3 linked regions of the Nothobranchius furzeri genome follow. The protein of the gene in region 1 binds, or shares a complex with, the protein of each later gene. Links are inferred from orthologs where the notes say so. Each region holds a gene or a part of one and is shown on either strand. Other genes may lie near its edges.

What was found.
Region 2: the proteins of kifbp (region 1) and kif18a are in contact, whole or in part, in a cryo-EM structure (PDB 7RSI), measured with the Homo sapiens proteins. The link is inferred for Nothobranchius furzeri from reciprocal best matches to the Homo sapiens genes KIFBP and KIF18A. Residues at the interface, in NP_056449.1 of Homo sapiens: Ser150, Glu151, Tyr212, Tyr213, Gln216, His220, Gln238, Ile251, Asn252, Thr255, Gln258, Asn262, Gly414, Tyr415, Val459, Asp460, Leu461, Asn462, Pro463, Gln464, Leu467; in NP_112494.3 of Homo sapiens: Glu181, Thr183, Gln184, Lys185, Gly186, Arg274, Phe275, Val276, Glu277, Gly278, Thr279, Asn280, Ile281, Arg283, Ser284, Leu285, Leu288, Gly289, Val291, Ile292, Arg314, Lys317, Asp318, Gly322, Asn323.
Region 3: the proteins of kifbp (region 1) and kif15 are in contact, whole or in part, in a cryo-EM structure (PDB 6ZPH), measured with the Homo sapiens proteins. The link is inferred for Nothobranchius furzeri from reciprocal best matches to the Homo sapiens genes KIFBP and KIF15. Residues at the interface, in NP_056449.1 of Homo sapiens: Lys26, Tyr33, Lys36, Ile106, Glu109, Ile147, Ser150, Glu151, Glu153, Thr208, His209, Tyr212, Tyr213, Gln216, Gln219, His220, Phe224, Gln238, Glu248, Trp249, Ile251, Asn252, Thr255, Gln258, Phe259, Asn262, Tyr415, Val416, Thr417, Glu421; in NP_064627.1 of Homo sapiens: Leu187, Glu189, Ile191, Lys192, Lys193, Arg231, Glu232, Arg235, Arg271, Met280, Arg281, Leu282, Lys283, Glu284, Ala285, Gly286, Asn287, Asn289, Arg290, Leu292, Ser293, Gly296, Gln297, Ile299, Ala301, Val303, Asp304, Val305, Gly306, His312.

The regions. Positions count from the first base shown.
Region 1 is NC_091749.1:53,754,173-53,765,039, forward strand, and holds kifbp (KIF-binding protein), read left to right. Parts: upstream 1-5,766; 5' UTR 5,767-5,803; coding exon 5,804-6,265; intron 6,266-6,376; coding exon 6,377-6,475; intron 6,476-6,758; coding exon 6,759-6,838; intron 6,839-6,906; coding exon 6,907-6,965; intron 6,966-7,044; coding exon 7,045-7,169; intron 7,170-7,286; coding exon 7,287-7,380; intron 7,381-7,555; coding exon 7,556-7,668; intron 7,669-7,782; coding exon 7,783-7,932; intron 7,933-8,493; coding exon 8,494-8,568; intron 8,569-9,057; coding exon 9,058-9,220; intron 9,221-9,295; coding exon 9,296-9,470; intron 9,471-9,561; coding exon 9,562-9,747; intron 9,748-9,829; coding exon 9,830-9,968; 3' UTR 9,969-10,749; downstream 10,750-10,867. UniProt on the Homo sapiens protein: Activator of KIF1B plus-end-directed microtubule motor activity. Required for organization of axonal microtubules, and axonal outgrowth and maintenance during peripheral and central nervous system development.
Region 2 is NC_091749.1:64,379,320-64,389,743, reverse strand, and holds part of kif18a (kinesin-like protein KIF18A), read right to left. Parts: intron 10,284-10,424; coding exon 10,126-10,283; intron 9,939-10,125; coding exon 9,834-9,938; intron 6,375-9,833; coding exon 6,264-6,374; intron 6,114-6,263; coding exon 5,916-6,113; intron 1-5,915.
Region 3 is NC_091758.1:31,346,927-31,356,606, reverse strand, and holds kif15 (kinesin-like protein KIF15), read left to right. Parts: upstream 1-195; 5' UTR 196-333; coding exon 334-352; intron 353-568; coding exon 569-599; intron 600-863; coding exon 864-1,050; intron 1,051-1,131; coding exon 1,132-1,208; intron 1,209-1,291; coding exon 1,292-1,329; intron 1,330-1,418; coding exon 1,419-1,516; intron 1,517-1,615; coding exon 1,616-1,795; intron 1,796-1,909; coding exon 1,910-2,119; intron 2,120-2,218; coding exon 2,219-2,344; intron 2,345-2,432; coding exon 2,433-2,555; intron 2,556-2,636; coding exon 2,637-2,784; intron 2,785-2,884; coding exon 2,885-2,976; intron 2,977-3,050; coding exon 3,051-3,260; intron 3,261-3,364; coding exon 3,365-3,542; intron 3,543-3,634; coding exon 3,635-3,776; intron 3,777-3,881; coding exon 3,882-4,023; intron 4,024-4,101; coding exon 4,102-4,263; intron 4,264-4,330; coding exon 4,331-4,459; intron 4,460-4,528; coding exon 4,529-4,634; intron 4,635-4,699; and 33 more. Other genes in the region: ATP-dependent RNA helicase TDRD9, read left to right, coding at 9,105-9,232. UniProt on the Homo sapiens protein: Plus-end directed kinesin-like motor enzyme involved in mitotic spindle assembly.

The sequences.
Region 1 (10,867 bases):
GTCATTGTATGATTCCTCTATAATATCCCTTGATTCATGTCTGGGTTCTCTGGGTTTGTTTAAATAAATTAAACTTAAAATTTGTTGTGTTTTCAGTGATTTTTGTTTGTTTTATATAAAGCTCCACAACTGCCATTATTGCCTGTTTTGTCTCATAATAAATACCAATGTTCATTGTTAGGAGCTAGGTTACATTTACAGTGTAGTATTAGTTAGGTTATGGCATTGAGCAACCCTACAGCAAATTTAGCTCAGTTTTAATTTAAAAGAGGAACTAAAGTTACAAATCAATTTCACATTTATGCACACCTTTAGTTGGTGCTGATAATTTTACAGATTTATTCGAGTTTAACTTCAAATAAGTATTAATGTTTTAATCTATAATTCTACAACAGTTAGTTCAGACAGAGGGATTTGATAGGTCAAGAGACTTTCCAAGAGTGCTGATGTTGGACTATAACAGCACTGGGACTGTTTACAAACAGTATCACTCCGCTGTGCACAGGCGTTCTAACCGTTATGTAGAAAATGTTTGTGTTGCCTAGAAACAGCCTTGTCTGAGTCTCCGTTTCATGTTGGGACTATGTGTTGGCGGAGCCTGATAAATGATTAAATAAATGAACAAAATCATTATCTGTTGTTGCTTATTGTTGCTATAAAAATAAAATGAGTAGGTAGAACTGTTGCATAAAAGCAATATCACACTCGAGGTTGTGTGTTGTTGCTGAATATCAGCACTGGTGTGATTATCTATGGCACTCGGCCTGCAGCCTCGTGCCTACAACCGAATCACACCAGTGCTGATATTCAGCAACAGCACACTCCCTCTTGTGTGATATTGCTTAATTGACAATGCAGCAGTGGATAATTTCACTCTCAAACAACTGCATGCGTGGTATGAATCACATTTTAGGAGAATTAAACTTTGTAACAGCAAATCACCTCCAAATCAACTTTTTTCTGATAAACTACATAAATGTGTGTCTAATCATGCAGCAGACAAGTGCAGTCAATAGTTTTGCACTTAAGTGCATTTTAGTTCAAATTTTAATTTTCTGCCTAAAACTGTCCGTGTTGTGCCGTTGTCAGGTAAAAACTGCACTGCAATTAAATTTAAATCCACCATTGCTATTGGCTAAGAAGTACCCTAGAACATTAGCTGGTACCATATGATGTCACAATGGCCTTGTTCAAGTTGAGCTGCTCCTCGCCTGGAAAACAGACGGAAGCAGCAGTATTAGGGGGTGCTGCATGTGTAGCTCGCGGGTGACTATGGATGAAGATATCGCGTTAGAGTTCACATTTGTTTAATTTTCAATTTTAATTCTGGTGCCTGTTAGCAGCTGAAACACATCCTCACGTGCTTCTGGATATCATATACATGAAGACATGACTGTAATAATAAGTAAAGGTTATCAGCTGTAGGTTTAGTGTGCTCATAGGAAACGTGACAAAAGAACACAAAACACATTTCTCAGATTCTTACTCAACTCCCACTTCCTGTTTGAAAAATGCAACGAATGCTGTTGCCTAGCAGACCCTAGAGGGTGGAGCCGCTAACAAATACATACACACACAGGCTCACAATGACATTGTGACATCATATGGTACCAGCTATCAAATCAAATCAAAGATATTTTATTAATCCCAGAGAGAAATTAGAGTTTCAGTACACACAATTCAGAGATCAGACATACATGGGAGAGACACATGACAAGAATTGGTGACTGTGGTCATTCACAACCCCGACTTGCGCTACCTTAATAGAGATCAGAGGGCTACATGAGGATTGGTTCAGGTGGAGGGGGAAAAAGGCACTTCAGAGTTACCCTCCACCAGGAGGACAGCTTTGCTCTGCAAAAAAACACCTCAAATAGAGATATGCAACAGACTTCAGACAACACAACATAAGTGTCCACTAGGTGGGGTGGTGGGTTGGGACTATCCCCACTTCAGTTCCTGCAGCCACAATAAGCAGCGCATGTCACCTCAATGTGGATGGGGGAGGAGCATTGAGGGTTGGAGGGTTGCAGTTAGGGCTGCAACAAACGATTATTTGGATAATCGATTAATCGGATGGGGTCTCGACACGATTAATCGATTAATCGGATTACATGGGGAAATTTTTAAAAACTGCTAGGGAAACGTTATTTCTCTCCTTCCTTCACTTTATTTAACACAACATTATTAGAAAACAGTTCAATAGCAGAAAAACAACATGCCATCACCTAAATTGTCTTATAAGGTGTATAGACAGAGACCCTAAGCTACATCTATCTGTGACCTAAAATGCTTGGTCCAAGTTAAGGGCAATTCTCATCTGTTTTGTTTGATCTCATCTGTTGACATTTATTTTAAATGTAATTAAACATAGGCTGTGAATTAATCAAAATTGATCACTATTTCCAAAAATGACTGAAAAAATACCAAATAAAACAAAAGTAAATGAATGCCATCCTCCTTGCGATGATGCCCTGGGCAACTGCCATAAAGTCACATCAAGAAATGCTGCTGATCATTCCAATGATCCCAAATAGACTCACATTAGGCCACATGAAAGCAACTGAACCCAAAAATATATTAACCAGTATATAACTGCACTCTCACACAACACGCCTGCAGCAACAGTTAGGACTCCTCCCTCCCTTTGAAAAGCGTTTTTGCTTCTGAGGACATTGTGGCTGTAAAACCACATGCTAGTAGTCTGGCCCCGGTGTGATCAACCAGTTTCTGCGGGAATGTGACGGCGGAACCAGGGCCAGATTAACACTTTGTTGTACCCTGGGCAACAATATTCAAGGGCTCCATCATCACGACCCGAGGATCACCATAATGTGGTCACATACAGAATATTTTACTGTAATATGCAGTAAATATACTCAATACTTGAATGCCTGACAACACGTAACCCGCCCAGAGTAACCTTTGACCCACCTCGTGTGGACTGACCAATGAGGAGAGGGTCTTAACTTGAGGCCCTCTCTTCATTGGTCAGTCTGCATGAGACTGACTCTCAACTGACGTTCAGTCGTAGGCAGCGAAGCGTCTCTGTGCAGTGCAAAAGCCCGGGTGGACAGTTTGTTTAATGTAGGGTGATCATATTTCCATTTCCAAACAAGAGGACAGGGGATCTGTGCCTATGACGTCACACTATGGCAACGCCACACAAACCATGTTGGGACCCATTTTTTATAAGAACTAAATTAATATCAGATTCTGCCAATTAAAGGGCTCTAAAACAATTCATATGTAAATATTTTGCATATTTAATGCAAAATCTAATTTTTATGCTTTAGTGCTGCAACAAGGTTTTATTAATAATAAATTTTTATACCTTTTGTTTTACTACAGCATCGGTAAGCTTCCTGTGCACAGATTATTAAGGATGCTTGTTTCAGCTGTGAGATTAGACGATAGGATCAATGAAAAAATAAGTTGTCACAAACTCCATGGAAACTTTCAGAGAATCCACAAATAGTGGCTTTCAAATGGTTTTGTTACTTTTTGCAAGTTTAGAAAAGAAGCAGATGAGACAGCATGTCTGATAATTTAGTTTTTCATCTGATAATATTAGAACATGTCAGTAATGTCTGAGGGGCTTTTATAAACACTGTATAACTAACACTACTGGAGAGGGCATGAATTACACAGAGGCTTCTGGGGAGCCCAGTTATTGGGGGGGGGGGGGGGCATTTTGCCTTGGCCCCCAAAATGTCTTGAAACGGCCCTGGGTGTGTGACTGAGTTTTGAAGGTGATCTGAATTGTATCAGATGTATAAATATGACATGTGTATAACTTATTGTTTTATAGGTAAAAACGTGTAGTGGTGATAAATCTACCTACATTTGACTTTTCAACACTTTGTTTTGTTTTCTTGTTTTTATTGAACTATTTTCCTGTCCTGTCTGTCTCTCATCTTCCTGCATCTCCTCTTAATTCTCCAGAAAATCTGTTGCCTGGATTCTTACCTTTTCACCTCATCAGTTACTTTTGAGCAGGTCAAAGGGATCTCCTGACCGAAAAGCGCAGAGCGCGTTTTCGATGCTGCGTGAGGTGACATCACCACAGCACAGGTGATGAGCTCCGCAGTAGCAGAGGGCTTCAGGCACAAATAAGACAGAAAATAGAGAACATGTGCGGACATGAACGATCGTGTGCTAATTATAGTTTTTTGGTTGCGCCACTTTGAGAATGGACCGTGCGCTGGAAGCAGCTGCCTGGATCGCTGTGCAACAATGCGGAACCGGTTCGCAGCAGCGCAAGTCTGCCGGCTCTCCCTCGCGCTGATCTGCGGCTCTCCCTCGCGCTGATCTGCCGGCTCTCCCTCGCGCTGATCTGCGGCTCTCCCTCGCGCTGATCTGCGGCTCTCCCTCGCGCTGATCTGACTTGCTCTGGTCTGCGCGCAACGGCGGGCGGGAAGGGGGGGCGCTTTTGGAAGAGTTGTGCGACACAACGAATCGATGACGCAATTCGTTGCCAACGCTTTTAGTAATCGATTTTCATCGAATTTATCGATTCGTTGTTGCAGCCCTAGTTGCAGTGACCCTGGAACATTTCAGCGGCCTTCCCGCAGTCCCGCCCAGGCTGGGAAAGGAGACAGAGTTGAGCTGCCATAGCGACGGCACATTCCATATATCTTCTGAGGGGGGAGTTTTCGTTGGAGCCTTGCAGGCTCAAGGGCTCCAGATTCCGATTAGAAATTGTTTTGGGGCTAGACAGAGATAACTTCCTCTCTGTCTTACAGTTTGTTGGTCCTCAAACTCTCAAAATCCCAATAATGGACATTAATCTATCCCAATCCGTGCTGATTCGTTCACTCTCTCCTTGATGGCACCCTTTTGTGCCAATGAAGGAATCTCGGCCAAAGTTCCAAGCTTACGATTCATCTCGACAATTATTTGAGTCTGTGAATTCACAGCGCGGTGCAAACCATCTCTGAGCTCCGGGATCAGGCCAATAATCCTCGACAGCTCGTTAATTTTCCGGTAAGCCAGGTAGCCTCCAAGATCAATGAGCAGGAAACCTGACACCAACACCACGAATACCCACACGTCTTCAGAGTCCTCCACAGACAGCTGAGATAAACAAATCAAGTTCCACTGTTTCCAGGAGTCCATGATGTGTCCAACTGGGTCTGTCCCAGCGGGGCATCCAGGAGCCCCTTCTCCTGTTCTCATCGTTGAAAAAACTTTATCAATCACGTTGAGAGACCAACTGACGAGATCCATTTAAGTGAATTTCAGTTTCCAGAAAAATGCAGAAGCAGCCATGCACCCAGCACACACAGACAGACAGAGGGCCTTGAGGATAACATATGGAGGAGAGGAGGAAAAAAAGCGTCTGCACCCTCCAAGAGCCGGAAGAAGAATGTTCTAGAATGTCCTAACGTTTTAGGGCACCTCTTAGCCAATAGCGATGGCAGATTTAAATTCAAATGTAGTGCAGTTTTTACCTGACAATGACACAACACTGACAGTTTCAGGCAGAAATTTTAAATTTTAACTAAAATGCACTAAAGTGCTAAACTATTGACTACATGTGCCTGCAGCGCGATTACATACACATTTATATAGTTTATCAGAAAAAAAGTTGATTTGGGGTGACTTGCTCTTTAACGATTTTGGGGGAGAAAAATAAAATCTAAATAAACTCTTGTTTTGGTATTCTTTATAATAAAACGTAGAATTTTCACAGGTTTAGAAAAAAGTAACCGTTTTGTTTGAGGTCATTTGATTGTAGAGACCAGATTCGTCCAGCAGGCGGCAGTAATGCAACAATAAAAGGACCCAGAAGAAAACAAACATGGCGTCCTTCCATAGTGATGAGTGGAGAGCTATATGCGACAAATTCAACAACGCCCAAAATCTCACCGAAGTAGAATCTAGAAATGACCCAGAGAACGACCCGTTCCGTTCCAAGTACAAAGCCCGGGAACTTCTCAGAGAAATCTATTGTTCACTGAAGAGTTTAGAAGCTGGTGACGGTGAGCAGGACGCCGACGGCGGAGAGAGCGGGGACCAGCTACCGACGGAGCAGCCGGTGGACGACCAAAAGGAGGAGGGTGTCTTCTCTCGGGGCTTCAGCGGTGACTCCCCAGCGGGGAAGCGAGTGGCCAAGCTCGGAGCTGTGGAATATTTTCTGGGCGTCAACCATGTGGACACGGAGGAGCTGTCAGCCGGGCAGGAGCATCTGATGAACTGCATGAAGCTGCTGGAGAGATGCGGGGTGTCGTCGGAGAATGTGTCGCTGTTCATTAATGTCAGGGTAACGAACGATGACGTTTCATCTGGTTTAGTAATGGCGGAGTTGGCATCATTTCAGGTGTGTGAGTACATAAGCTGATGGTGTGTGTGTGTTTGCTCTCCGTTCCGTCAGAACCAGCTGGGCATCCTCTGGGCTGGCCGAGATGAGACCGAGATGGCTCAAGAGTACCTGGAAAAAGCGGAGTCCATCTACCAGCGTTACATGAAGGAGGTCAGTTAGGTTTTCTGAGCAGCTGCTGGTGCACTCACTCAAACTGTAGCTGATCCAGAACTGTTTTTATTTGGACATTTCATTTGCAGCACGCTTGTTCATCAGGACCACATTGCTCTGTTCCTGTTCTGTCATCACGCTTCTCACGACCCTTTCTGTGTATTTTACGCGGCCAATGAGTCTCGTATATATAATATATAATCACAAACACTGCAGTTGAAATTTTATGAGGTCAAATCCTCCCCAACATCTGGGATTGTTGTGTTTTCTGTGCCTCGTGAAGGATGGGACTCCTCCCACCGACATGACGGAGTACTTTAGTGCAGAGGAGAACCTGCTGACACACCAGGAAAGGATCAAGAGGTAATTTCTGAACCCCAGCTTCCATAAGCATGCTCTGCACGTTTTAAATTATATTTCTCTTCCACCAGGTTCGAGCTGGCCTACACCCACACCATGTACTACCTCGCTCAAGTGTATACAAACCTCGGTGAGTGTGTGTGGCTGAAGTTCTCGTTACCGGGTAGTTTAGATTACATATGGATGTTTCACCATCGTTTGTCTCTCAGGTCAGAAAGAGCGTGCTGCCACCTACTGCCACTGCACCCTGCAGAGACAGTTACAGTTAAACCAGTTCAACCCGATGGAGTGGGCTCTGAATGCAGCTGCGCTGTCTCAGTATTACATCCCAAAGGTACCACTTGGGTGCAACGGGAAATTGTTGACTTATGAGTTAAAATCTCAAAGGATGTTGATTCTTCTGTTGTAAACTTTAGTAAGCGTCTCGCATTTGTGCTGGTGTTCTTCTCAGGGCCGATACATGGAGGGCAGGCATTGCCTTGCAGCAGCTACTGTTGTTTCAGGTTTGGCTGGAGAGGTTCCGTCTGAGGCCGTAGCTCAGGAAAGTAAGAGCCCTCTCATGAAAACATTTTATTTAAACGCCTGTCCCAGAGTCGAGTAAACCGGCGTAGTTTTCACCTCTCCTTGCTTCACCTTGCTTCACCCTGTTCCTCTAGACTTGTTTATCATTCCTCTCTTTGGTCACTGGCACATCCGATCGTCTCTTTCTGTCCGACTCAGGTGAGGCGGAGAGCGAGCGCAGAGAACAGCTCAGACAGAAGAGAGCAGAGATGGCGAGATGTTGGATTAAATATTGTCTAAATCTCCTACAGGATGCTAAGAAACTCCTGGAGGTACTGTTTGTGCCTGTTAACGAAAACCAGAGAAACGGAATAAATTCCTCTAACTGTCAGATCTTCACGCTGGTTTTTAAGTCTTGTATGAAAGTCTTGTGGGTGTTCGTGCAGGACAACATCGGTGAGCTGGATACGGATCGTCAGGATGAGCTGAGGAGAGCGAGACGACGACAGGAGGAGGAGGAAGAAAAAGGGAGGAAGAGTGCTCTGCTGTTTGGCTCTGAAGACACTTTTGATTCTATTGCAAGTGTGGAAGAAAAGGTCTGAGTCACCCGAGTTCAAACTTTATGTTGGTTATTGTGTGGGTCTTTGTTTTATGAGGTCATAAAGCTTTGTTTACATTTTCTTTAAATGCACACACACACACACACACACACACACACTGCGTTAATGTAGTAAAGAAACATGGAGTGGATTAAGTTAATCTCACAATTATGATTTTGTATTTAAAAAATATTACACAAAAAGTGTGTAAAATTCAAGCATGCATGATAGAAGAAATGAGATGTTCGTATCAAGAAATTAAGAGTCAGAAGATGTCGGATATCTGTAAGATAACAAAAGGCCAATGTCGAGCAACCCTAGTAGCTTTGTCATTTTTATTTTTGTCAAATTCCTTCATTTCACTGTGCATTATGTTTTGTTTGTTTTTTTCATTATATAAGTTTGAATGTTTAATATAATAAGAGAATCTTAAAAACTATTAATGAGGACTTTGGGTGCCTTGTCAGTAGGGGGCGCTATTCTATAGATTTTATTAAGTCACTTTGCTGACTGCTTTTTTGTGTTTTTGGTTTGTTTTGCGTCCTCCGTCTCTTACAGGTCATGTGTTTGCTACCTCTGGACTTCACGGAGGCCAGATCGGTTTTTCTGGTGGGACAGAATTATGTCACGCAGGTACGCACAGCAGGAAACCGTCTCTGTTTAATTGACTGAAACTCGTATATTACATCACAAGTAGAGGAACTCTGCAGGAATGTGGAGTTTAAACACCTTACAGTAATTCTTTACCAGCATAGAACATCATTTGTATTTGAAACTATAAATTTGATTTTTCCAATTTTTAAAAAGCACAAGTTTTCTACATTTTTTCAAAAAAGCCTTTTTAAAAATGTTAATTTGTCCGAATAAATAAAATTTATTTTGATTGCAAAATAATTATTTCAAAAGGATTTTAACATTAATATTTAGTGAAAAGAAGGATTTGGTTCTGCTCTGTTGTTAAAATGTGTTTTTGTGTCATTAAGTCACATGATTTCTTCATAAAGATGCTTAACCTGCACTTTAGGGACATTACCTGATCTTAAAGCCACAGAGCTAATGTGTCTGCGTGAAACGTTGTTTTTGTGGTTGACGGTTAGCTGCTTCCTTCCTTCCATCTCCAAGGCTAAAGAGTACTATCAGATGGACGGCTACGTCACGGACCACATCGAGATTCTGCAGGACCACAGTGCTCTGTTCCGGGCCCTGGCTTTCTTTGAGGAAGACCTGGAGCGTCGCTGCAAAATGCACAAACGAAGAGTCGACATGTTGGAGCCGATCTGCAACGGTACAGCTGTTGTTGTTTTTCCTTTAAAATTCTTAAGAAAGTCTTCCTCTGTGACTCTCCTTGTTTTTCCTCCAGACCTGAATTCTCAGTACTACCTAATGATCCGCCGACAGCTGATGTTTGAGTTGGCTGAGACCTACAGCGACATGATGGACCTCAAACTGACTCTGGCCAACAGACAAGCAGATGCACAGGCCTCAGACAGCCACACCATTAAGAAGTTCAACCATCTCTGCTCTGCTTCTGCCAAGTAGGAGTGCATTTGGGTTCGAAGCACCAGATTGAGTTTCTGTTTGTTTCAACGCTCTCCTGAAGGATTTGTGTGATCCTCTCATCTCCAGGTTCTTCCAGATGTTCCTGGATTCTCTGTGTTCTCCCGAGGGAAAGCCTCCGGAGCACCTGGAGGAGGAGGTGCTCAGACCAGCTCTGGTGGCTAGGTTCAGAGTAGCCCGACTGCACAGCAAACTGATCAGCTCCTCACCTGCCGTTCAGCTGGAAAACCTCGACAGCTCCCTGCAAAACTACAAGTACGTCTTGTATTTTTATTTACAAGCAGCTTAAATAAAGAAATGGCAACAGTGCGGTGATACCTTGTGTCCTGTTGTGTAGGTACGTGGTGCAGTATTGCGAGGCTCACCCTGAGGCAGCAGCTGCCGTGGAGACGGAGCTGGAGCTGAGCAAAGAGATGGTCGGCCTCCTCCCTCTCAAAATCAACCGCCTCAAAGCGAGGATGGCCGCCAACAACTGAGCCTCTTCTGAATGGCTGCAGAACCGATTGCGTTCGGCTTTATTCTGATGTGCCAGTCGGTCATCGTCAGTGGACGCTCCGCACTCAGAGGAACCAAACGCTACATCTTTGGATCCCTGTTCTAACTGTGTACCTTTTTCAGTGACGTGTTTTCCTCTGTGTAGTGAGCATGCTGCTTTTTAAAGATGCCTCTGTACGATACAGGCTATATATACTATCAAAATAAAAGTATCAAAGGAAAAGGCAACTAAACACTAAAGCATGATTTTGTTTCCAAATGTCCTGTTTACATTCCATCTGCAGAGCTGCAGCCTTTGTAGATTTATCACTAAACCAATCATTTAGCAGCGTTTTCTCAGTTTTCATAGCAGGTGCGTTGACGTTTTATATGTATGAATTTAGTTCATATTTATAATTATTGCACTATGTAAATGTCTTCTGGTTTTAACTGGTGGGACTTCTGTCAAGTCCCCAGAAGTTGTATTGTTTCAGCTCCTCTCTGATTGCAGCAGAAATGTTGGTGCGTGCTAAAACTAGAATTCTTGTGGCGTTGACAATGAGCACCCTGAGGTGAGGAGCAGTCCAGTCGATCCAGTTCTCAGATTCTTCTTCTGCAAGTCAGCAGAATAAATCAGTAATCTAGTATTCTGCAGTACTAGTGTGTTTCTTATCAAAGTCATGAAATGGGACCACAGTCTTGTGTTTAAGGTTTGAAGGATCTCTTGTTTCTTTGCAGATGAGAGTAAGATTTGCAAATAAAAGTTAAACTCTTTAAAAACCATGTTATTCATTATAAACTGGGTGTGATTGGTGATGACATTTATTTACATGTTTTCTTAACATTTAAAATTAATTTGACTTTAAATCAGCATTTCAGATAAATCTATGGTGCCTATCTC
Region 2 (10,424 bases), about 11 Mb from region 1:
TTCTGCTCAGACACGTGAAAAGAGAGTTACAGTAGTCTAAGCATGAGGAGATGAAGGTGTGGATAACTGTCTCAAGTTCAGAGCGGGACAGAATGGGACTCAGCTTAGCAATGTTCCTGAGATGGAAGAAGGAAGAGCGAACAAGAGAACTGACATGAGAATCCAGGGTGAGAGCTGGGTCAAAGGTCACACCAAGATTACTGACAGAAGGTTTGGTGTGAGAAGCAAGCTGACCAAGAGTGTCTCTGACTTTGGGAACCAGCTTGTTTGGGGCACAGATGAGGATCTCAGTCTTACCTTCATTCAGCTGTAGAAAGCTCCCAGCCATCCAGGTTTTGATAGAGTCTAAGCAGGTGTGTAACAGCTGCAGCTTAGACATCTCATGGGGCTTAAAGGAGATGTACAGTTGGATGTCACCTGCATAATGACGGTATGAGATTCCTTTGAAGGAGTTCAGGATGTGATGAAGAGGAAGCAGATAGAGAAGCGCAGAGGGCCCAGCACAAAACCTTGTGGGACACCATGGGTAAGGGAGGTGGTGGAGGACCTAAACTTGGAGATGGCCACAGAGCAGGAACGCTCAGACAGATAAGAGGAGAACCACCCCAGAGCAGATTCTGACAGGCCTACCCAGTCTCTCAGCCTCTCCAGTAGCAGGTGATGGTCAACAGTGTCAAAGGCTGCAGTCAGGTCCAGCAGGACCAGAACAGAACAGTCCCTTGCATCACTGTGAGTCAGAAGGTCATTAGAGACCCTAAGAAGAGCTGCTTCAGTAGAATGAGCTCTACGAAAACCTGACTGGACGCTATCATAGATGTTATGTTCATCAAGAGCAGCTGTGAGTTGTTAAGCCACAACCTTTTCCAAGATCTTGGAGATGAACGGAAGTTTAGAGATGGGTCTGAAGCTGCTATGGAGAGAGGCGTCAAGACTCGGTTTTTAAGAATTGGGTGGATTACAGCATTCTTAAACTAAGCAGGGACCTGACCAGAAACCAGAGAACCGTTAATTATGGAGAGCACGCTGGGACCGATGGACTGAAAAGCACTTTTAAACAAAGATGAGGGTAAGATGTCGAGGGGGCATGCAGAGGTCTTCATAGAGTTAACTAGTTTGGTTAACTCAGGCAAAGAAACAGGAGCAAAACCCATTCTAGGCTCCTCACTACCACCTGAGCCTGTTTTAAACACCATAGCCTATCTGAGTATTGCTGCTGACCATGCCCATCCATCTACGACCACAGTGAACCCATCCTTTCATGGCTACTTTCAGATAGATAATGCTCAATGTCACAAAGCTCAAGTCATCTGAAACAGTTTATTGATAATGACATTGAGTTCACTGGACTCTCAGCGATCACCACAGTCACCAGATCAATGCAAACAAGGACTTTTGGAGCGGGAGATTCCCATCACTGATTTGCAGCAGACAAATCTGCAACAACTATGTCCTGCTATTATAATAGAATTGTGGATCAAAACCTCTGCAGAATGTTTCACATCTGGTTGAATCTGTGACAAAAATGTTTTAGGGCAAAGATGGCAGAGGAGGTGTGCCTCGTAACCAGAGGGTTGAAGGTTCAACCCCAACTTAGTCTGTTGTTGTGCCCTTGGGCAAGACGATTAACCCACCTTGTCTACTGGTGGTGGTCAGAGGGACCGGTGGCACCTGTGTACTGCCCTTGTCAGTTGCGGCTACAGAGTAGCTCATCACCACCAGCAGATTTTTATCTTCACTGTGAAAAATCTGACAGTAACATTTCCAAGAAGCAAAACTTTTACAAAATGCTGGTGAAAAAAAAAAAACATTAAGATTTTGCAACACATCTGGAGCTTTTGCGGTGCATGGGTGAGAAAAATTGGTCACGACTGAAAGAAGGCGTTTTATCAACTGCATTAGCATAAATAGGGCCACCGCCTAAGGCAAACAACTTACAACAGAAACCTCTGTACAGCATAACATGAAGATGACACAATAAACAGCCCCAACTAAAGTAGCAGGCATTCTTCTGGCATACCAGTCTAGACACAAGCGAGGACATTCTTTCCAGTAAACATTGACCACAATATAAATGCCTCTGTATCAAAAAAGCAGAGGAACAGGGGTGGGAAACTTGTGGGTATTGTTTTGGATTTTACAGAACTGAGTCCATGGCTGCTTCACTTAAAAATGGCGGGTAGGGTAAAACATCGACTTTCCAATGCTGATGAAAGGACACCATATCAACCCAAAGAATGAAGTTGGTTGAAGGTGGATTGCATTTCAACATGGCTGTCATAGTTTTGCACAACACCTCCTAAATGCGGGCATGCGGCCCGCTTGTGCCTCGTTCCTCGAGACTTGTGTGTAAAATGAGACGTCTGCTTGACAGATTAATGTATGCAACTGGAATGAAATTATACCCAAATACTCAGCTGGCTCCCTCTTACCAGCTTCGTATTCAAGTGGTTACCTTCAAACTCCCATAACCTTAACAAACTTAATACCAGCTCCAATGTAGACAGATGATGTACTAAACAGATACAACTGATAAACACATTCAGTTAGCAGTAGAGGCCAACCGATATCGTTTTCTCAAGGCCAATGCAGATTTTTAAAGAATTTTGCTGCCGATGGCCAATATCTAAGGCTGATTATTAAGGCTGATATATACATATACGTTTTAGCAGCACATTGATTGTCAAAGACAACAGAACACTCAGTGTGTGCAATATAAATTAAGTAAATAAATCTCTTAATATTTATTGAACTTCAAATATAAAACAAACTCAAAACATAAAACTGTGTTGGGGTCCTTTATTCAGTCTAGTAGTCAGTTGGCCAGACAGGTGCCTGATTTTTTATTTTTTTAACAAATTTGCTTTTAAAAATAATTTCGGTCGATTACTGATAAAAACACTTTTTAATATATCGGCTGGCCTCTAGTTAGCAGTTTATCGTACCTGATAAATTCATCATGTTAGTGCATTGCCTGGTTAAATGTTATGACAATCTTTGATATTTAGCTTTGGACATTTAAGTGACAGCCGTTCCTATAATGTCATATCTTGTAAAATTAGGCCTAAAAACTGCAGTTTGTTGTAGGCAGTGAACCATAAGCACTTTTTATTAAAACGTGGACAATGAAGTTCCAGGACTTGGTTAAATACAAAACAGCACAATAATGTATTAAGTAAGAAATAAATTGATGCCTGATAAAATACAGAAACTGTTCACAGAGAAAGAAGGAGGATATAACCTGAGAGGGACACTAAACTTAAAGATACATAAATGATAAATGACTCGCACTTGAATAGCACCTCTCAAAGTAAGGACTCCAAAGCGCTTTACGCTACAGTGTATCATTCATCCATTCACACACACATTCACACACTGATGGGGATGAGCTACGATGTAGCCACAGCTGCCCTGGGGCGCACTGGCAGAGGTGAGGCTGCCGAGCACAGGCGCCGCTGGTCCCTCCGACCACCACCAGCAGGCAAGGTGGGTTAAGTGTCTTGCCCAAGGACACAACAGCAGAATTCTCTGTCCAGAGCCAGGATCGAACCTGCAACCTTCCGATTACTGTACAACCCGCTCAACCTGTTGAGCTACTGCTGCCAAGTTTAGAACATTAAAACAGTTGTGTATCACAATAATAGGGGTTAAATTATGGAACAATTTAGAAGAAGAAATCAAAGTAAGTACAAATATAAATGTGTTTAAAATGAATTATAAAAAACATTCTGAACAAGTATATAGTGGAAAATAGATGATTTATGTGGGTGTCCTTTATAGAGCCCTGCACTGAAGCCCTAGGCCCTCGGGCCGGGCTTCAGGCCAACGACTGTGTAATTACCTCGGACACGGGCCAGGCGCCTTTATTTTTAATCGAATTCATTTAAAAAATTGAAACACAAACGCAGCAGTAGAGCCCTGCGCGGGACTGTTTTCTTCATCCCGCTCCCGCTGAATTTCTGACCATTATCGCCTGCAACTGCAACGTGTGTGTTACACTCCCGCCCGCACCCGCAGTGTGCATGTCTACTCCCGCCCGCAACCGCAAAACTCGGAGAAATTATTACCTCACAATAAAAGACATGTATTGAGTTTGCGTCCTCTCTGGTCCTGGAGAAAACATGTCACAACTCGCGGCTCTTCCATCCATCTGATGCGGCTCTCCGTGCTTGTAAAATAATGAATGGATAATTAAATAAAATGCTTTATATTTTACTGAATTAATTTCATATCTGTAAGTCAATTCTATGTAAAGATTGTCTGCGTAAACCTGAACAGGTCCAACCCAGTCTTACTGTGAGACCGGGTTGACGGGTCACGCTTGTACGTAATCATATAGGCGCTTTATGAGCTGAAGAGATTCTGGGATTCTCCTCAGACGGCTCCTGGATGTGTCGCCACATTGGAGACAGGAACAAGCGCTATTCAGCCAAAGTTTCATAATCAGGGAACATTTTCTAAGTGACAAGTCTCTCTGAGCTACAGGGTTTGGAAAACACTCGCTTCAGTGGGAGGAACCTTCCCGCATGCGCTCTGGTTCTGCGACGCGCTCCAAGCCCCTCTCCACAACTTCAGCTCGCTGTGCACCATACGTACGCGCTGACAGTGAGCTGCGCTGAGCAGTGTCCAGCTCAGATGTTCAGATGGGAATCTTTTCTTGGGTGATTTAGCTACATCTGTGATGTGTGTAACGAATAAAATGTCAGTTCGTCTGCATGCGTCGGGGTAATTCTTTCTATTCTTTCTCCGTCAAAACAAACTGTCAAATACGGGAACTATCCAGTCAACACAAGCCCTGCTTTTAACTGTTCTGTTTTCTTGTGAAAATTGTTGGAAAGAGATAAAATTTAACTTGATTAACACCAGAGCCAGTGCGCCGTTATCTCCGTGACGGTAAACAAGGGAAAAACAAATTGATCGGATCCTGCATGTCTTTTAACACATTGGTCAGGATTGACGCACTTTGTTCTCATTTAGTTGGTTAAAAAAAAAAGTCGGGCTCGGGTCGGACCAGAGAATCCTGAAAACCTTTTCGGACCGGGTCGGGCTGGGGCTCCACCCCCTCGGGCTGGGCCGGACACGGGCTCAGATTTTAGGCCTGTGCAGGGCTCTAGTCCTTTATTCTAAGGAAAAGTAAATTGTATCAATTGTAAAAAGATGGTTTGGTGGTTTTTGGTGACTTGTACCATTTTGTTTGATTTAATGTAGGTTTTGTGTTAGATTTAGTAAACAAGTAAAAATTACTTGTATAAAGGAGTAGGGACTTGTAAGTTTCCACTTCAGCCTACTTCTTTTCAAACGGAGAAGAAAAAAAGGGATGATGATGTATTTTTTCTGTTTGTGGTATTTAAAAAAAAATAATGTATGTTTTCTTTGTTTGAAATAAACTAAACTAATAAAACAAGGCATGGCTGTGTGATTTCAGCCAACACATTCTCAAACCCAAGACGTCAAAATATGACGCGTGTGACCAAGCGTCAATATATGACGACGCCCCAGCGCGTCAGGAGACGACGCTCAGGGACAAACAGCTGACGCAGCGTCCCAGAGCTTCGGTATCAGACGCCGGTGGTGAGACGGACATTAGAACTACTTAAGCGTCCCCTCACCCCAATCCTAACCTCAAGGTTACAGTTTATGGACCTTAAGGTTAGGACTGGGGTGAGGGGAAGGTTAAATTGTCAAATAATGTCCGTGTGACAGCGCGCGTCAAAGTGACACCAGCGGAGCCACGTGACCCAGCGTGTCCCTGATCGTCGTCTCCTATATTGACGCTTGGTCACACGCTTCATATTTTGATGCCTTGGGTGTGAGAATGTGTTGTTTCAGCATAAACCAGCGCTGAACAGAATCTTCCAAACTAAAACAACGGTACTCTGTGTGAACATATAATGAAGATACAGAGCAAGACACGTCACCTTTGGGTCAGCAAGAGCGTTGATAACATTTCCTAGGGCAAGCAGGGAGCGGTTGATGTTAGCACCTTCTCGTAATCGCGCCCCTTTGGCGTTGGTGGCGCTGGCCCTCTCTGAGCCAGCGAGGTCAATCAGGCTCATTTTGGCAATGCAGACGTTGGGATTGAGACTGGCAGTTTTGTCCTGCTGCCTCAAATAGATCTGATAAATCAAACACAGAGCTGTTAGATTACGAAATAAATCACTCAGTCTTTGTATGACTTTTTTTTTCACCTCCTCATTTTAATTCATTACTTCACCTAGCCCTTCCCATAAAAAACTGGACTTTTAAGAAACTTTAGGCTTAAATACCTGAAACACAGCATGGGATCTGGAAGACGTGGCATTCATATCAGTGGGGTGCTGTGTTCTGTTTCGATTGCCAGAATCCAAAGCCTCAAGAATGTGGTCTGCAGATTTGGGCTGAAAAGAGATAAAAAAGTTTAACTGCATCAGATCTTCATTAGAAATCATTAAAGGCACCTGTGCACTACAATGAATGATTAGGCTCACTGTTTGGGTTAGTTATGCAATAGGGCTGGGTGCTTTAGCCTCAAAATTGTATTAAAATATGCGATTGAAGTTTCTGGTTTAAATAACAATGTAATCTCTACAAGGAGACTCCTATTTCTATTTTTGTACATCCTTGGAATTATGATCAGTTTCACATTACATTTTTATTTCAGCAGAAATATTAAGAAGCTCTTGTTGGGTTTGCCCCCTGGATGCACAGGAAGTGCTGCTTTTAGCTGCTGGTGGTGATTTTTATTAATGGAGAGGGGGATACAAAAGAAAATGCACAATTTCATGAAAATAATCATGTAATGCAAATATGTTAACTGTAAAAACACTGAACCACGTTGAAAATTTGTACACTTGGAGCTGTTTAAAGACAGCAGCAGATGTTAATCCATCAAGCCTGTAGAATGCAAACGCCACGTCTCAAATGCAAATTTAAGAAGCTCCTTCACACCTGAGGTCATAATTATTTAACTTCAACACAAACACTTTAAAAAGACTGAGAAAGCTCTTTAAATCAACAAACAACACTCAATGTTTACATGAATTCTAGCGTTGGTTCAACAGGTTTCCTTCAAATGATTCATTCATTTCATCCGCTTTCACGGGGTCAGGTTGTGGGGGCAGCAGCCTAAGCAAAGTGGCCCAGACTTCCTTCTCCCCAACCACTTGGGCCAGCTCCTCCGGGGCAATCCCAAGGCATTACCCTGCCAGCAGAGAAACTGTCCCTCCAGCTTGTCCTGGGTCTTCCTTTGGGTCTCCTCCTGGTTGGATGTACCCGGAAAATCTTACCAGGGAGACGTCCAGAAGGCATCCTAACCAGATACCCAAGGCCCCTGCAACTGGCTCCTGTCGATGTGGAGGAGCAGCAGGTCTACTCTGAGCCCCTCTTGGATGACCCAACTGATCTCTAACCCTTACTGCACACTGAAAGCATCAGCGTCACAGAAAAGCAGCGCAAAAGTTTACTCCAGTGCACACCGGGAGTCTCCGCTACGAAGCGTCATCTCAGCTGTGCTCCTCGCGAGATCACAAAATTCCTCAAATTTATGCCATCCGCCATTAAACCAAGAAGAAGGAAATCACATTCGATGTCAGTTGTTGGTCCTCTCCACTGCCATGGTTAAAGCCATAAAAACACACCGCTGCAATGCTGTGAGTAAATAAGCCGTTAGGGCACTTGCACTGATGTAATCTACACACACGCACACACACACACTTATATGAAGTCACATCGCTGCAATAGACTTATTTTGAAAATTAACTGGAAATTTTACACTGAAGCAGTGTGTGATTTCCTGTCTAGCCCTATGTTAACTGCAGGAATTGTTGCATACCTGTCTTAAGCGGCGCTGCTTCTGGGACGGGTCTGAAAATTGCCGCATCACGGCTGGTTTGAATCCCCCAATAGACTAACGGATTCTATCTGAAGCTGTGACGCTCCGCTGCCGTTCTGCACCACCGATGCTTCCACTGTGCAGTAGAGCCCAGACACTACATTTCAGCTGCTTGTATCCGCGATCTTGTTCTTTAGGTCACTACCCAAAGCTCTTCCGACTCAGCTCCCTCTTCCCTTCTTCAAATTAAATTTTATATATTGAAAGGAAACTACTAAATTGTTTTTCATGAACTATTATTTTGTACACTTAGAACATGGAAGACCTCCAGAGTTAATACTAAACATAGAAGGGTTTCTTTAAACAGCAGAGAAGCAGTTTTATTTTTATTTGTTTTAACTAGGGCCGGGACTTTAACGTGTTAATTACGATTAATTAGAAAAAAATAACGCGTTAAAAAAATTAACGCATTTAATCGCAGATTGCATTTCAAGCACGGCGGAACTTTTGTCATTGCACGACTTCCTCGTAGACTGAATATCACTGACGCACACAACAATGCACAGTGCTAATGGCTACTAAACGTAATAAAAACAGAAAGAAGTTGCCTTGCTTGGACTGATGCAGGATTTAGGAAACACGTCCGCCTCTTTTCTTAACTTGGGGGGGGGGGGGGAAACTTCCAGACAACAACGGAGTCCGTGTCGCGGACATTTTTCAGAGATAGTCTCTGCTGCAGCTGCCCGCCCGGTGGCACCGGAAACTTTACAAAAGTTGCGGTAAGCTATATTTTTAACATTTACGTAACATCTGTGCAGCGCTGAACGCACCAGACAGAATAATTCTGTGTCCTAACAGTAGTTTATGAAAGTAGTGAGACAAACGAGAGGCACCTGGCTGCCGCTGGGAGAACGCTCCGTGTTCTCACTACTCTGTAAACAGTTACAAACAACGTGTCTTAAAGTTGAAAACAGAAGTTTAAGTTCAAACAGAAACACTCTGAAACTTTTCTGATGATTTTCTAAACAATGCTGTCGGGGTATTATGTTTCTGAGACGAGTCTCTGTCTAAACATCACATGCATTACTATCGTTAAGCTGCGAGGTGTGCTGAAGCTGTTATCAGCTAAGGGGCGGATGCTTAAGTGCATCTGGGGCAGCGAGGAACGAGAAAGTTGTGATCAGGCTGGAGATCACACCAGATTCGCTGCTGCAGGCATGAATCTGCGGGTCTGCAGCATCCCCTTATTAACATCAGGACTTCCCCATGTAAGGAAGGTCCGCTCACCTGTTCGTCAGATCATTATTTCCTCGCCATGATCTTTTATCATCCCATCAACCTCCAGTCATCCAACTGAAACCAGTTAGTGTTCCTGATCATTCTCAGAATATGTCACGCCTGCTCTGGTGTTAAAAGTTAGTACAATTAAGTCCTAGATCATATTTGTGCCTGCTCTACTGTCATTTTGAAGGATTATTATTTATGTGTTTTTACTACATTATGAGTAGAAATGCTAATAAAAACTCAATTATACAAACAAGTGAAACTGGAAAAATTAGAATCTGGTGCAAAGTCAAATTTATTTCAGTCATTCAACTAGACAGAGAGACTATTTAAAGGCTCAGGAACCTTCTATTTGTAATTATAAATTTTAGTTGATTTGGGTTTTGTTTCATATCACACAGTGACATTTGAAATAATTAAAATGCATTTTTTTATTAAAAGCTTTAGTTTACAGTAATAACCATGTCTAATGTTCGATTCTCTGTCTCAAAATTTTAATTAAAAGTTTTACTTTGAGAGCACATTTTCCTGAACGATTAAAATGCGATTAATTGAGATTAATTAATTACAAAGCCTGTAATCAATTAGATTAAAATGTTTAATCAAGTCCCAGCCCTAGTTTTAACATCTAACCTATAACTAAGATTCTGCTTTGCAACACAATCAGAGGGAAATTGAATAAAAACCAGCTGTAATAAACTAACAGAAGGGTTCTGTATTTATCTTTATAAAGTCTACAGACCTTGTGCAGCGTGAGACCCTGAACGACCACTCCTTTAGAGCCGTCCTCTCTAACAGCAAGAGGCCCAACATTGGCCAGCAAGTCTCTGATCTGTTCGTTATAAACCTGTGAAAAATAAAATAGAGGAAACCAAAACAAATTTATCAAAACCAGTCTCACAATAAAATAAATTACTATTAAAAAGGGGCATGTATAAATACAGCGGCAGTGTTTTTAACTAAATTAGTAAAACTTCACTTTTACTCTAGAATTGACTAGTTTTATGCATTTACAAACAAAGGGATGTACACACCTCAAGATATGAAAATGCCACTGCAAACTCTTTCTCCTCCTTGGCATCATCCATGCGCTTGAACAGCTCTTTCATTGTGCGGTACATGACCCCTGGGTCATTTTGTGAGCCTAACATGGTGTGTGTTTTACCCGCTCCAGTAGCACCATATGCAAACACTGAAACAAAACAATAGAAAAATAAAGAAATCTGTGCAAACAATAATAAGTGAACACTAACGTAGGAAGAATCCTAACTAGGAAATTGGAGAAAAATCATGCAATCTGCAAAAATCATAAATGAATAACAGAAAACTGCTA
Region 3 (9,680 bases), on another chromosome or scaffold:
AATAATAATAATAATAATAATAATAATAATAAAAACTTGGAAATTTATCATTACTGCATGAAGTGCGTATGTAAATATTTTTTTTCCTCTCCAACATCAAAATTTTAATGTTGTTGGTGGGAATGAATAATTGGAAATAAGGTGGGAACACAGTTCCATTTTTTTATTTTACAGCGGACACATTTCAGCGTAACACCGGGTAGTTTTCTGGGGAAGACGACTAGCCCGCCAATTTTAAAGAACAACATAAACAATGTTGTCCGTCCGTCTCTGATTCTGTGACGTGAACAACGTATAAATAGATTTTTAACGATTAATTCTTCGTAGACAACGATGCAAACTACTGGAAAAGGTAGTGAAATGTTCGGTTAATCAACAAATATGCTGTCAGTTAAACTTGATACCGACATTCGTTGTTTCCTTACTTATTTTTTTAGCTAGCTACTGAATATTTGCCTTGGGTTAAAGTTTTAGCACCATAGGATGCGCGATCAATTCATGTGTTGTCTTTTCATTAGTGTCAGTTACAAAAAGTCATTTAACGAACGTTTGAACATTTTGTTACCAGGCTTTGGAGATTCAACCCTCCTTGCTGCAAGGTAAGGTACCTTTAGGCCTCTTTGTCCCTGCTAAATATGCAAAAAGTAGCAATAAAACTAAACTGTAGATGATAATTGTGTCTTCTAGTAACAGCTAATGCAATGCTCCCATGCAAATGTTTTTATTTTTTTCTGAAGCATTTATACTTTCAATCACCAGCTTTATAAGCAACTATCAGGAATGAATTCAACTAATAAACTGTTAGCAATTTTCTTAAAATTTGAATCCTATTTTTTTATGAAAATAATCTGTTGATGTTACAGTGGCGACAGTGATTCAATTAAAGTATTTGTCCGAGTGCGACCTCTGACCCAGGGAACAGGGCTGACCACAGATGGAGATCAGAATCTGTGTCTCTCTGTTACCTCCCCACACACCGTCCGTCTGCTCTCCAAACCAGAACCACGAACCTTCACCTACGATCATGTTGCTGACATGGAGACATCTCAGGTTTGAAACACCGTCATTGCATTAAATACATACATAGGATGTAAACTTTTTGGGGAAAAATGTTTAATTTTTGTGTTCCAGGAGTCTGTATTCAACAGTGTGGCCAAGAATATTGTTGAGTCCTGCATGAATGGATATAATGGTACCATATTTGCTTAGTAAGTGTCATTTTTATGTACAATATTCAATTTGATGGCTTTGTTTTACATGTTGAGCATTGATTATACTTTTTTTCTTGCAGTGGACAAACAGGCTCTGGAAAAACGTTTACAATGCTTGGTGAGAGTTTATAGTTTTCTCAAAAATCTAAAGTTGAGTTTTCTCAAAAAAAAAAAAGTTAAGTGATTTTTTTTTAACCCTCGCTGCAGGACCGTCTGAGTTTGATAACTTCACAGATGAATTCAGGGGGGTAATTCCACGAAGTTTTGAGTACTTGTTTTTTCTCATCAACAGAGAAGTGGAGAAGGTGATTTGTGATGTTTCTTCATCAAAAATATTTCAAACCAATGTTTTTTTTATTGATTTTTCTAATAAATCCTGTGTTTCTTTCCTTTTCTCCCGATAGTCTTCCAAGTCCAAGAGCTTCCTTTGCAAATGTTCATTTATTGAAATTTACAACGAACAAATCTATGATCTTCTGGACACAGCTTCGGCAAGCCTTTTCCTGAGGGAGAACATTAAGAAAGGTGTGTTTGTTGAAGGAGCTGTGGAGAAGTTTGTGAACTCAGCAGCTGAAGCCTACAAGGTATACTATACACCACTGATCCATAGTGACTGCATGTTTTACTCTCTGTAAAATTAGATTATTATTGTGTCAGATCCCAATTATAAGTAAACCCTTACATTTGCGACCATGTAGGTGCTGTCTATGGGCTGGCGTAATCGGCGTGTGGCCTCCACCTCCATGAACCGCGAGTCCTCAAGATCTCACGCTGTGTTCAGCATGACTTTGGAGTCCAAAGAATCTGTCAATGAGGTGGTGAACATCCGAATGTCTCAGCTGAATCTTGTGGATCTGGCAGGATCCGAGAGACAGAAAGACACACACACGGAGGGATCGAGACTCAAGGTAAAGTTTTATGTGTGAATGCTCAAGCTTTGCTGCAATGTCTTTGCAATCATTTCTTTCAGCTTATAACAGTTGCTGTGTGAATGACTTCTTTTGCAGGAAGCCAGCAGCATCAATCGCTCCCTCATGTGCCTGGGCCAGGTGATCATGGCGCTGGTGGATGTGTCTAATGGAAAGCACCGCCACATTTGCTACAGGGATTCTAAACTCACCTTCCTGCTCCGGGTAAGTGATCAAAATGAAATTGTCCTTCGTCAGATTTGGGGAATCTATGTAGAAAATTTGAACAAGTGTGGCTTTGCTGTTACGTCAGGACTCTCTCGGAGGAAATGCTAAGACCTACATCATAGCTAATGTCCACCCTGGTTCAAAGTGTTTTGGAGAAACGTTGTCTACCTTGCAGTTTGCTCAGAGAGCCAAGCTGATCAAAAACAAGGTGTGCTTTATTAAATCCTCTATGTAATGTTTTGGTTTAAGATTCTGGCAGTTGCTGTTTTACCTTGTTGTTATTTTACAGGCTGTCATTAACGAGGACACACAGGGAAATGTGAAGCAGTTGCAGGCTGAAGTGAGGAAACTGAAAGATCAGCTTGCGCAGGCGTTGTCTTTTCACCGAGTGGACTCTGATAGAGACGCAGCACCAGGGGGATCTGAACCCTGCATGGGTAACTATTTACTTTACCTATACCAAACATTTGTTAAATGTTATCTGTGTTAGAGCTGAGGTTTGGCTATGAGTTTATTATTTTAAAATTCTCTCATCAGGTCCATCAGCTGAACTTCAACATGATGTTTCGTATAAAGCAAAGTTAATGTCTGCCGTTCGTCTGTGGAGGAAGCAAGAGGATGAGAAGAAGGTGAAGGGGGTTAATTTATTTATTTTTATTAGCATTCATAGGAAGTTACACAACAGCTTTGTGATTGCACTCAGATGCTGCTGAAGAAGGTGGCGCAGCTGGAAGAAGCCTGGACGCAGAAAGACAAGTTCATCCACTCCAGCAGGATGATCATCAGGTTTCGAGAAGAACACATTTCCCGCCTAGAGAAAAAGCTGAAGGCAGGACAATGCTTGTTGTCGGACGTAGAGTCTCAGGCTTTGATAGAGCAGCTGAAAAAAGAGATCAAGATCTTGAGCGATCAGGTAAAAAATAAAAATTTTCTTTGATTTATTTCTAATTTCTTAAGTCTTTTTTAACTCAGATTAAAGTTACATCTGAAATCAATTTCCCTCCTCTGCACTATAAGGTTGATCATCATCCTAAGATGACTCGATATGCAGCAGAAAACTACAGCCTCAGAGAGGAGAACCGTATGCTACGTTCTCTTGAATCCGTGATGAACGCTGAAGATGTTTGTGCCCAAGTTTCCGCTGAGCTGGAGGAGGCCTTCCAGATGGCACTGGAGTCAGAAAAACTCACAGGAAGTAAGATTATCATCATGACATTAGAAAAAAAAACTCTTGCAAAGTTAAATATTGTTTACATTTACGTGTGACTGTCGCATGCTGCTCCACAGCTTGCACAACCATGTCATCTGCACTGGGAACTGACGCTGATTCTACAGCTACGATCGAAAAGCTGAATTCAAAACTGCTTCAGAAACAGTCCGACTTCACGGCTGCCCTCCAGGCTTTTGAGGAGTACAAAGAAGTTTCAAAGTAACGATAAAATGTTTATTTAAAGTCAAAGTCTGTGATAAATGGTGAATGTGACGGCTGGCTTTAGCCTGGGCTACAGTTTTGTTTTGTCATCTTGTGTTTTAGGAAACAGTTATCCCAACTGGCGTCCGAGAAAAGATACCTTGAAAAGTCCAACAAGCATTTGGAAAATATTTTAGAAGCCACGCATGCTTGTAAAAATCAAGAAGTCTCTGAGCTGAACAGGATTCACGTTGAAACTCTAAAGGTGAGCTCGTTTTCATCTCGGAGGCATTCGTTGCTTGTTGCGATTAGACGTTGATGCAGTTTTTTGCTGTTACACTAGATTCTCTCTACGCCCACCAAATCCTACAACCTGCGCTCCCGCCTTGTGCCGCTCTCCAGTCCACAACATCTGAACGGGAATGACGAGGCTGACATTTGGTCGGAGGAGCCCCCATCTGACATGACTGAGATGGCCCTGACAGAAGAGCTGCATCAAATTCAGGTAATGGAGCGCGGATTGTCCCTTTACTACAAAAAACCAACTATTGACATCAGCTTTTGCTCTTCAGGAGCAAGCGAGTTGTGTCCAAACACGTTTAGATGAAGTGGAGTTGAAGAACAGCAAGCTGCTGCAGCAGATTGCAAAACTCGAGGAGCAGATCGCCATGAAATCCCAAGAATGTGACCACAAAGAGGAGGTAGAGTTTATTCAGATGTAATGATGCTGTGTGTTTATGCTAGCTGCTAACGGTCTGTACCTGATGCAGCTGCTTTCTGCCGAACGAGCTAACAGAAACAAAGATCAGCTCAACTTCCAAGAAAAGATGAGCGTCCTGCAGGAGAAGCTTGAGTCTGAACAGCGAGCTGCAGAAGGTGAGGCTCTGATTGGTTAGTGAATGTCCTGTTTTGACCCTAACCGCTGTTTCCTCTCGATTCAGTTCTGAAGAGCGAAATCCATGATCTGCGCTTGCTGCTGCAGTCGTCAGACAAAGAGCTGGCGTCTGTGAAAAACCAGTTAAAAGACGATCAAAGTGAACATCAGCAAGAAGCGAGTCAGCTCTCCAACAGTCTGATCAGCACTCAGCTCCAACTGGACAAAGTCCAGTAAGTATAAATGAACAGTGTGACGTGTCTGTTGTGGGTATGATGTAGGTTTGTGCTAAAATCGGCTAAATGCTCTTTCTAGGCTGGAGTGGGAACAACTTCTGGAACAAAACCGAACCCTGCAGGATTCCTTCGACCAGCTCCAAGCCGAAGCCAAGTTTGATGCCGACCAGGCCGGTCAGCAGCTGTGTGACAAGCAGCAGGAGATAGAACAGCTGAAAGCAGATATACAGGTAGAGGAAGTAAAATATAGTCTAGTCTAGAAATACCTGTTTTTTGACTCTGGCCCTTAGATTTTTCTTTTTCTTTTAGAATTTGAATCATTCTCTGCAAGCTGAGCGAGAGCGCACAAGCAGTCTGATCTCCCAGTTAAGAGAAAACAAAGAAAGCACTTCGAAGTGAGTTCTTCACAGTTTAAATACTGGATTTGTTTTATTAATAAAACACTTTTGAAGTCCTCCTTTTACCATAAAACTTACACGATTGATCCTTTTTCCTTCAGAGAGCTTCTAGAAACCATGGATCAGAACGCACAGCTCAGAAAACAAGTTTCAGACATGACAGCACAAAATCATCAGCAGGTCGGGACACAACACACACACACACACACACACACACACACACACACACACACACATATGCATACATACATACATATATGCAGATCAGAAAGAATTGCCAGGTTTTCAGTTGCAATGCGTCGTTAAACCTGGTTGTTTTTGTTTTTATTTTTATTTCAAAGTCAACCAAACTCACCGAACTTGAGCAGAGTCTAACCGCTGCCAGTGAAACGATAACAAGCTTGGAACAGAAGATTAAACAGGATAAGGTAAAAAAAAAAAATATATATATATATATATATATATATCTTCAAATAGGACGTCATTACATCTGTTCCTTTTAGAAATACTTTCTACTGTATTTTTCCAACAGGATGTTCTTTTAGACCTCATGAACCAAACCAAAGACCTTCGTAGTGAGCTGAGCCAGAAGGAGGAGACCATTATCCACCTGAGTGATGACATCAGAGACATGATGGTAAGTCACCTGCCCTCTAATGCACCGTATAAAGCACCAAGCTTATAATAATAATAATAATTCTGTTGACTTCCAGGCTAAATATGATGCTGCCTGCAGTGAGAGAGAAAACACCAGGGAGCAAAACCAAAAGATTCAGACAGAAATCTGTGAACTGAAGGAAACTTTAGAGAGAAAAATGACCTCTAACAAGATTGAGGTAGTTTGTTTTTACGTTTTTGTGAAGTCCTTTAAACATCCAACATGTTTTGGTTAATTTGGTTTGTTGATGCACCACATTCTCTTTAGCCCTGAGACAAGAGAGAACAGACTTCTATTCATCTCTCCATTTCTGCTGTAATGAAAATGAATGTTTTTCTGGAGGTGGAGGTGCTGCAGGAGGAGGTCGCGTACGCCACCGAAGAGGTTGACAGGCTGACTAAGGTCTTAGGTGAGCAGAACATCCTCCTCCAAACATCTCAGGAGCAAACGGCTAAGAAGGAGGCCATCATAAGGAGCCTACAGCAGAAGGTGAAGATAGATTTTAAAATGGATTTGGTGTCACATTAGAAGCAATTATTCACTTTTTTCTAAACTTGTTTCATTCCAGGTGCAACAACAACAAGAAGCTGTTGAGAAAACCATCAGAAATGGAGATTTTAAACCCCCTGAGAGTACCGTCACACCTAAATCCCTGGATCGGGTAAAAACTTTGTTTTTATGAATCAAACCTTCTTTTATTTCAGCATCAGAATGTTTTTTGCTCCCGGAATGCATCGGGGGGAATCTTATACATCTTTTCTTTTTCTTTAAGACTCCTCGTGGTTTCGGCAGCTTCAACAGAAACCTGAACGACTTGTTGGAGAGCCAGGAGCAGGAGCTGGAGAGCCGACGCTCCTCCATGATGAGCATGGAGATTCTTCTGGCAGAGCTGAACGCGGAGAGGGCCGCAAAGAACGAGGAAATCCACAGGCTGAAGGCAAGCGCAAATGTTAAACATCAAAACTGGAAAAGTAGAATTATATTTTAATTTTATTTCTAACTCAGACGGAGCTGGCTGACAAGGAGGTTGTCCAGATGGAGATCCAGGGTTTACTAGACACGTTTTACACCAAACAGAGTCAGCTCACAGAGCCCAGGAATAACAGCAATACTAGTAAAAGGTTGGATCCCTTCGTTTAATTTGACTTCAATTCATTTTATAACATGTGAAACAAGTGAAATGGATAAACTTGTCTTTCAGTGAGCTTCATGAAGCCATAAATCAGACTTTGGTGCAAGATCTGCATGAGGAACGGTCTGAGAAGGTGCGTATCTGCTTCTCTGCTCATCTTGTTTACTTTTGAATGATGACGCCAATTTCTGTGTTGTTATTTATCAACAGAACAAAATAATGCAGAAACTGTTTGAGACTCAGAAGAGGTGAGCACCTGTATAGGTTGGTTTAGTGGCCTTTGAGGTAAAATACACGAGCACCTTTGAGGCTGATTGGTGTTTTCCTGCCGGTTAGGCTGCAGGAGCAGGAAACCACTCTGGCCAAGTCCCAGACCTGTGTTCATGAGCTGACCACTGAGCTAAGGAACCGCTGTCTGGAGCTACGAGAGATCAACCAGAGGATTTATGATGAGGAGAAACTACTCCAGGTGAGAAAAGGAAATTTTGAGTGCACAACTGACCCGCTTCAACTAAAAGTTGCTCGACATAAACCTAAAAGTCGCTGATTTGTAAATAAAAAAGAAGACATCAGCCCTTTTGCCCTCTGACGTTTTCAACTGGTGTTAGTCGTTTCAGTTAGTGCACTGGAGCTCGGCTGTCCTTTAACAGAAACCCAAAAACCGGTTTAAAACAACAATAACACAGTTTTCTTTTCTGCAGGAGAATGAGATGCTCCGTCAGCAGAATCTAAAGCTTTCTGAGGAGAACGGGAAACTTGTTGGACACAAGAACCACAAACAGAGGATTGAATATCTGGTTAAGCTGAAAAAGGAAAACACCAGACTTGAAGGAGTAAGGATTCTTCTGTTTGATCTACTTATTTGGGGCAGTATGAAATTCAAGCATGGATCATGTTAATTAACTTTGTCCCTTTTATGTGATTTCAAGGAAAACGAGAAGCTCAGAGCAGAAATTAGCCTAATGCGGGAGAGCTCTGTATGCTCACCGATGGAGACCATGTAAACCTCAAGTGGGACTGAACTCTTGGCAAGAAACCAATTTTTATTTTTCATAGTTTTTGATATAAAGACATATTTTCATATTTGATTTTTGTTCTGTCTTTTTCATGTAAATTAAATGTTACTGGTGAATAAACTGTTGATGATGGTAGTGATGGTTTTTCTTACAAATTAGACTGAGCCGAACATATTCATATTTGTGATGGAAATGTAACATTAGGACTTGGTTACTTTGTAGGTACATTTGGACATTATTCCTTTTTATCTCAGGTTGTAGAATTTGGTTTCCCTGTTGCTTTTGTCTGAACTGTTCTCCTTATTCAAAAAAGACTATTAAATTTTTTTAGTGGTCAGCTTTGAGTAGAGGTGATTGTGTGATTTTGTTGAAAAAACAGCATACATTGTTTCAAGAAATGAATCAAAACAGTGGGAAGAATAATTTAACCTTTAAATTAGGTCTGGGCGATATGGCCTAAAATCAGTATGATATATTGAGAAGTTCACCTCGATAACTATAAATGGACGATAACTACATGTATGTGCAGAAACAAAAGTTGTGCTCTAGGCTGTCACATGTATTGAGGGACATGAACGTTGCCAACCTACGCACATCTTTTCATTTTTTTTATTATCAAATTTATTGACATGGGAATAATTATCTTGATAAGAGTCAGAAATTTCAATAATGATACATTTTTGATTAATTGCCTAACCTTACTTTAAATATTAACATAGGAAAACAAAAGGCTTGAGTTTGCTAAATCAGCCATGAATGACAAACCCTTACTTAGCTCATACATTAGATAAATAAGAACAAAAACATCCTCACATTAGAGTTTTTAAAGTTTATGTCATCCGTTTTAGTATACCATGCTGAATGCTCTTATGGGGATCAGCCTAATCAGTTGTAGTTGCAATATTGAGTCCGACCACTAGAGGGCAACGCGCGCGCCTATGGGACGAAAGCAAACTAGTTTTGTTATCCGTGGCACCGGCACGTGGCAAGGTGCGAACCACCATTCTAGTCTCACCCAGCTCTGGTCGCACCATGGAGAAAGTTATCACTGCTGAACAAATTTCGAATTGGTTCACCCCCACCTCGCCCACTTCTGGGAGCAGCAAACTTATTGAAGACTCTGCAGGAAGAAAGAATGATGGGCCGTCGTTGAAAGAAAGGTAGTAAAGTTAGCGGTTAGCGTAATTGTCACCATAAGCTAATTTGAAATCGAAGCAGCCACAGAAACATGGCGACATTGACTTTTTTTTTTCAAAACGAGCGACAGGCGTGGTATAAAGTTAACGTTTAAATGCTGTTTTTAACAATTGTACATCTGAAAACCTGTATCTGATTTTGTTGTAGTCATTACAAGTGTTTGCCAAATTTTAGTGAAAAATATTATTTAATTTTAAAGTATGAATGGAAATATTTGCCTTGAATCACAATTTACCTTAGAAAAAACCCTTCGTGGATATGTTTTATTTTATTATTAATTTTTTTTTGGTTCGGCTCACCACACCATGAGGTGGTGTTGAGCTAACTTCAATTCAATCTGCGCATGTGCAATACCAATTTGACTACATTGGTGGGTAGAACTGTGGATTTGTAAATAAACATGTGTTTATA